Linked DNA regions of Mytilus edulis. The protein of the gene in region 1 interacts with the protein of each later gene in a biochemical or structural test. Links are inferred from orthologs where the notes say so. Each region holds a gene or a part of one and is shown in the gene's direction. Other genes may lie near its edges.

Region 1 (3,761 bases):
AGTAACATCATGTGCACCATTCAAGAGTTTGAAAGTGTTTTAAAGTTAAGGAAATATATTAAGAGCATGGTGATTTGATAAAATTCATTATTCTGAAAAAGTTAATATACGCATGTGCAAACAAATTTTATTGGATTTAGAGCATAGATTTGTTCACAAAGCGAAAGAAGCACGTCATATTAGAATTTAGTTCAACCTTTTAAGAAGCAATATTTAAAACCCAGCACTAAAAAAAATACCTATTCCTATCCAGCTGGGCTCAGGATTTTATCATACACCAGACCATGATACCTGTTTATGATCGTTTATAATGTGTCTTACATTCATACATGCCTTCAATGCTTTACATTCTTTTCTTTTTTTTATTTTTTGAAATTTAAAATTTTAAAATTATTTAATCAGACTGGAATTGGTCAAAACCCATAATTTGATATGTATATTATTTCAAAGCATTAGAAAAAAATATAAAAGGTGGCTTATATAAGTATTTATGATGATTTTTCCTCTTTTTTTTCCTCTTTTTTTTTGATAACTTTGAAACGCACTATAAGGATCTAGCAAGGTCGACAATTATTGAAGAATTCAGTATAAAAAGAAAATACGAACAGTATGACAGATGATTTTCTAGGAAATAGTTGTGTGTCGATCTTTGCAAATATTACCAATAAATTATACATGTTATATCTCTTACCAATTCTACTGATTATATAGTACTGAAAAACTGTATAGTTTTAATTTAATAAAAAGAGATCTTTTCTTACGCATATGAAATTCTGTCATTCATTCAATTATACCTTACAAATCCTTGATATACAAAGGGAGATAATTACTAGAGAACTGAATAAGAATGTTGCATTTGCAGTAAAATATACTTGTCTGTATCAATATAGAAACAGTATATATATAAATCCTTGATAAATCACTTTAAAAAAAAACTGTAAAAACTCTTGATAAAACTATTTAGAATGATTTTCTTTATGTTTTTTTTTCAGAAGCAAGTCAAAGACAGTGGCGGATCCAGAAATTTTCATAAGTGGGGGCCCACTGACTGACCTAAGAAGGGGCCCGCTCCAGTCACGCTTCAATAATTACCTATATAAGCAACCAATTTTTTTCCCAAAAAGGGGGGGCCCGAGCCCCCTGCCCCCCCCCCCCCCCCCCCCATATCCGCCTCTGAAAGACTCTTGAATTTAGTTTTAAGAGACCCATATGATGTTACATGCCTCTAGCTTTATGTTTGTATAGTTGTTTTTATTAAACATTGACAAACACAGTAGGGCGTAGTAATTGTTTCCAATCGGGCACGTGCCGAATAAAGATGTTTTCATTTAGGTCCGCGTTCATATCGTAGAAATTCGTTTCATAAAATTATCATTTCTATAAATAGTTCATCAAGCGTAATCTTTCAAAACAGAAAATCCTACCGTCATCAAAAAAGAAATTAGCAGTGTTATACAAATTAAAATGCCAAGAAGGAAGAAAACAGGTGAGAAAAAGACATTCAACAAGTAATTGTCAGCTATATCCAATGCATGTCACAGTGATTTGCTTTAAGGTTCATCAGTGATGGCAGTATTTACACCACAAAAAGTCGATTTTTGTTTATATCTTCTATAAATACAGACAAACTTATACATTTAGGAAAGTTTAAAGGAAGGGCAGGACCTACATCTAGCTTAATTTATACGTAGGTTATGTTAAAGAGTTGTCTGGAATTTGATGTGCATTTTTTTAGTCTGCATAAGTCTAGATTATGTAGCAAAATAAACAAACACATGTGTTTCATAAATTTGACATGGTTCTTCCAGTTACACAGCTAAAATCAGGTACAAAACAACTCATTCTTTCAGCAACTAATACTCAACCAAAATGGTACCCATGATTTATTTGATATTATTTACATACATAGTTGTTGTAACTTTCTTTCATATAATATCATTATATATCATATGTTTAGTACAAAATACAACAATTTTGTATATCTAATAAAGGTTCTTTTTTCCAGTCTGTATCACCTACCCTGTATCGCATACCCCGTATCACATGGCTAAACCCGTATCGCATACCCCGTATCACATACCTGGCATGACGTCACAATTCGAATGACATCAATGTTTGACCTATGACGTCCAGTTGCTGTTCCTACTAAAGAAAATGTCATATCATTTCAACTTAAATCGATATTTAAAAAAAAATCATTACCCAGTAACTTTACTAGGGATTTTCATAAAAAATAAATACAATAAGATGTAGAAATGGCTGTAAAAACTGTAAAAGAAAAAGGCAGCTGAAAAAATAGGAAAATCATAATGTTCTTTTCTTCCTTATATTTTCGGACGATTTAAAAAAAACGGATATTGCATGAATCTGATTCTGTAAAAATATATGATAAACCATGTAAACAGAATAATACATGGCAAAATCCGTATCGCATGCTGTATCACCACTCGACCAATATAAACCCTCGGGACTGATATTGGTTTCTCATGATGATACAGCATGCGATACAGATTTTGTCATGTATTATTCTATATATATAGCACGGGGAAATAACTGCAAGTCAGCTTATCCGCATGTATGGTTGTTGAACGGGTCCGTCATGTCCGTCGGCTGATTAAAAGACATGTCCAAGGCAATATTCTGTAAAATATCCTTTTCAAATAATCTATGGATCGTGCAAACTTGAGGATTTTTTTTTTAAATGTAAATCATATTAGTAGATCAACTACAAAATAATAAAAGATGAAGCATTATAATGTTTAAAAATATTGGGTACAATTTGGTAGAAGTATGAGTTAAAATAAAAAGAGCTGATTTTAATTAATTAATGAAAACTTGCTAATTATAAGTCAGAGCTCAGACATAAATAAGTTTGAATCTGCTTTTGACTCATAGAGGTTTAAATTTGTAAGTTTTAGGATTTGTCTCCCTTTAATGCAAGACAAAATACGACTTTAATAAGTCAAATATTGTTAAGCAAGAAATAATTGACCAGAATAAAAAAGTTGCAAATATCGACTCCTACGAGTCGATAAGTTATCGAAATTGGTTAACTTTAGCGTTCAATCTTGATTAATCATTTTTCATATTTTTCATTCCACTACAGATACAACTGAAGATGGCAGTGGAGATACAGTACCAACAAAGAAATCAAAACTTGCAATTGGATCACAAATTGATGGTGTAACAGTGAGATGGGAATGGGAAGGAGACAAATCTACCTGGACAAAATACTCTGATGATAAAAATGAAAGTATTACTGATGCTTTCAATTTAAAGAAACCATCTGTGAGTCGAAATAAAAAAATATATTATTGTACAAAGTAAATGTTCCTATCAATTTCAAACTATTTGTAGACCAAACAAAATATTACTTCTACAGACATGACAGAACAAACTAAATGTAACTATTATTGTATAAAGTAATATTAAAGTTCAAAGTTACTACAAGTATAACAAGTTCAGAGTAAGAACATATAAACTATTACATGTATTATAGTTAAGTACAATGTTTAAAGTAAATGTATTCCTTTTTTATCCTCTATTGATTACATTGTTCTATTTTTCTCTCAAGAATGTTACAAATCTAGTTTATCATTATTATTAGTTCAAACTAAATGAATTGGTTATTATACAACTTCGTATAATGTTCAGTACAGTTTAGTGAATATTGTTGTCAAAAGCATTAAGGTGTATCTAATTTCATCATATTTTCAGTTATATTTAAAAGAAAGGAGAAAGATACCAGAGGGACATTTAAA
Region 2 (3,761 bases), on another chromosome or scaffold:
GTTTAAACTGTATTTTGACTGATAAAATAAATTATTTTTCCTACCTACCGACCCTTCAGTCTGAAGGTACAGTCGGAAAACTGCAAACAAACATATTTTTAAGGTTGGCCTTACCGCAATGTTAAACAACTTAACATATACTCTGACAGCCAATCCGCCATAGGCATTATAACCTTAAATTGGAAATCAGAAAACTATCACAAAACCATACAAGAAATCAAAAACAGGAAAATAAAATTGGAACAAAAGGGTTTTAGTATCAACATCATTTGGACACCTGGGCACTCTGATATAGAGGGAAATGAACAGGCTGACCGTCTAGCAAAAGCAGCGGCAAAAGAGGCAGATAATAGGGAGGAAATGTCTTCAATCACGACAAAACAAGACATCAAACAAGCGGCGAGAACGTCAGTCATTCAAAAATGGAAGACACAATGGGAATCTAGTGAGGTTGGGAGAAGATTTTTTAATCATCACCCAGATGCATCAAAAAGAATCAAACTAGACTTCCCATCAAAAAAACACTTCAATATACTAAACAGTCTCAGATCAGGATACTCCAAACTAAAGGGGTATCAACATTTCATTAACAGACATGTAGAAGACAACAAATGTACTTGCGGAGAAATAGAATCTGTAGAACATTTTTTATTATCTTGTGACAATTACAGTTTGGATAGAGAAAAACTCCGCCAGTCAATATATTTCAAAACAGGAACACTTAATCTAGATCTAGAAGAATTACTTAACACAGAAGCCAGTGCAGACATACAATATGCAGTTTCCAAGTTTATAGACGATACTAGAAGATTTGATCATTTGTTTTTATAAATCAGTATCAACAGCGCCTACCTAAATTAAAGTGAAAGTACAAAGAGAAAATACAAACGTGATTAATGTATCCAAACGCGCAAGTCACCAAAGTACATATGAGAAAATCAGTGTCAAGATGACGCATACTAAAGACTAAAGACTAACAACAGAACCAAAATCGGCAACGTTACAGTATTTCCAATTCTTTTTTTAAATAAATATTTAAATTATAAAAAATAATTCATAGACTTCGTCCTCATTTACAGGTAATGCCTGCCTCATATTAGTTTTAAAATATTGGTTCTTGCTCCTATTTTGACTGGAATTTGAAATATTTTAATTCCAGTCAAAATAAGAGCAAGAACTGATATTTTAAAATTATTATTTACAATTTACATTGTATTAAAATAAAGTTTTACAAAGAGGAAAGTGTACCATTGCTATTCTTTAACAACTAAAACTGCAATGAAAAGGAAGAAAATAAAACAATTTCACTGGAGTCCAGCTCCAGGTTTGCTCTCCAAGGTATTTGTGTAAATACACAAGAAATGATGACGTCAGGTAATTTTTTTCGGGAGAATTACTTGACTCATTAAATTTTCAATTGAATTATGTTTATCTGTTTATTGACAATCAGGTATCGAATAGTATAAAATAAAATTGTAAATTCGAACTCAAATTTTGGTGTATCTATTCTATAATTTCCTAATTCAATTAATAATGATTTCTAATAAAGACTCCCGGCGTTGAACTCTTTTGCATGAAGACACAAAAATGGCATCAAAAGAAGAAAAGCCGCTGTGTAAATTTGGAGCTAATTGTTATAGAAAGAACCAACAACATATACAAAATTACAGACATCCGAAGAGAAAAAACGATTCTGTATACAAAATTATACAATCTTGATTTTATATTTATTTACTTTTACGATTGCTGTAAAACTGCTTTCCTTTTAATTTAAGGTGCCCGCCAAAATTGGCAAAAATCGGTATCAAGACGTTTCGGCCATGGGACCGGTTCGGCAATGGTCGTTTCGGGCAGATACACTTCGGACATATAATGAAAACTGGAGATTTTCACCCTCCCACACACATATCTAGTTGCCAGACCGGAGTTTAAAATAATATAAGCAGGCATTACCTTATAGTCGCCGTCATGTAAAATTGGCACCATGTTTTTGTCAAAATGTTCTTAAATATCGACCGTGTTTACTAAAGATGATGTTTTTCAAGTAGTGGAATCAAATATCATTCCAAAAATCAACTACTGTCCTACCTTTTATTGTGTTTGCACTGCATAATCCTGACCTTCACATAATCCTAGATTAATTTGTATGGTGGAATCCGACATTGTTATTACCGGAAGTGTTGCTGTGGAGTTCCACGTGCTCTCCATTTTCTTGTGTCTCTCATAGCTTTTCGTCATCTTTACGTAAAAAGCACGGGAAATTGTATCATCAATGACAATGATATTACCGGAGAGTAACAAATGTTATGTACAATGTAATAAGGGACCCTCATAGAAACCAAGATGGCGGTTATAGAATGTAAATAATCTTGAAAAATGTGAAGGTCAGGATTATACAGTGCAAACACAATAAAAGGTAGGACAGTAGTGGATATTTGGACAGGATTTTACTTCCGCTAAAAGAAAAACATCATCTTGATCGAGTAAACGCGGCTGATATTTAAAATTTTTTTAACAAATAACATGGTGCCAATTTAACGTGACGGCGACTATAGTCCGAGATGACGTCCAACGGCTGTTTTGCCAGACAAGCTGGGCCGTGGGACGTCAGAGCTTGTCCCTTATCAAAAAAGTGGATATTTGCCCACCCAAAATAGATGCGCTGCTTCGTCGCTTCTGGTGCCGATTGAGGGCCTTGGAATTATATAAATCAGGCATCAATCTGTTCATTTTTCATTTATCTCTTCATTTATGTAAGTTTCACCTACCTGCCAACCTTTATTTTTCCATATTTTAACAGTTTTCACAGAGACCCATCGATTTTCTGCATTTTGACTTTTTTCCCCCCCGATTTTTTTTTTTCTTTATTGATTTTTCTACTGTTATTGGGGACTTTATCCCCATATAATTGGTAATTAGTGGGCCTCTGTACTCAGTCTAGGCTAGAGGTGTCAGAGTCCACCAATTACAAATCCCTATCTGTTCAACCAAATTTTGCAATTTTCACAGCTATCTAAATATTTCACCTTAAGTTTAACTTCATAGAAACCAGGTATATCCTGAATTGTACATGTATCACCTTTCTACATGCCAATTTTCAACCCACATGACCCATGTTTAAAATAAATTTGAGAAAGAATTGCCTTTGGGAAAAGAACTACTCCAAAAATAACCCCTGGTTTTCTGGAAATCTTAAATTTGTATACTATGTAGCACATTAATCCTGATTTTTTAATGCAAACTCATAGACAAGTGAATTTGGCTGAAAATGGTCTAAATATTTTTCTCTTTCCCCATAAGTCTAACTTCTGCTAATTTGTTGGTTTGTTTAAGTTAACAATTGTGCAAAATTTATCTTTAACAGGGCTCACACTACTTCAGAATTATAGGGAGAAGTGACTTCTCTTTTTGAAACTGATAGGGAGAAGTGGTGAGATTTGAAAGAGAAGTGCTCATTCACGCAGTGCACTACAATGTTTGGATTTTACAATAGTATAAAGGGCCATATGTAAATAATGTTCTTTTTATATTGTTCAATTCATATCTGAGTAAAAAAAATACAATTAAAGTAACATTTGAAATTAAAAGTTGTTTAAGTTTTACTAAGGTTCTTGTGAGAAACTACCAACTAAATATCTAGCACTAAAAAAAAAAAAAATATTTTAAAAAATGTAAAGAAATTATAATATATCAATTACAATTTAATTAAAAATTATCTTGTGTATGAAATTCGGTGTTTCTCATAAAAAAATATCAAAGTT

What was found. The genes of interacting proteins can lie anywhere in the genome.
Region 2: the proteins of poly [ADP-ribose] polymerase 2-like (region 1) and histone PARylation factor 1-like form a complex in vitro, tested with the Homo sapiens proteins (2 studies listed by BioGRID). The link is inferred for Mytilus edulis from reciprocal best matches to the Homo sapiens genes PARP2 and HPF1.

Annotation. Positions count from the first base shown.
Region 1 is NC_092348.1:64,697,740-64,701,500, reverse strand, and holds the start of poly [ADP-ribose] polymerase 2-like, read left to right. Parts: upstream 1-1,355; 5' UTR 1,356-1,464; coding exon 1,465-1,486; exon of another isoform or gene 1,487-1,508; intron 1,509-3,106; coding exon 3,107-3,288; intron 3,289-3,761. UniProt on the Homo sapiens protein: Poly-ADP-ribosyltransferase that mediates poly-ADP-ribosylation of proteins and plays a key role in DNA repair.
Region 2 is NC_092351.1:3,002,505-3,006,265, reverse strand, and holds the start of histone PARylation factor 1-like, read left to right. Parts: upstream 1-1,542; 5' UTR 1,543-1,587; coding exon 1,588-1,695; intron 1,696-3,761. Other genes in the region: chromosome-associated kinesin KIF4A-like, read right to left, coding at 1,249-1,251. UniProt on the Homo sapiens protein: Cofactor for serine ADP-ribosylation that confers serine specificity on PARP1 and PARP2 and plays a key role in DNA damage response.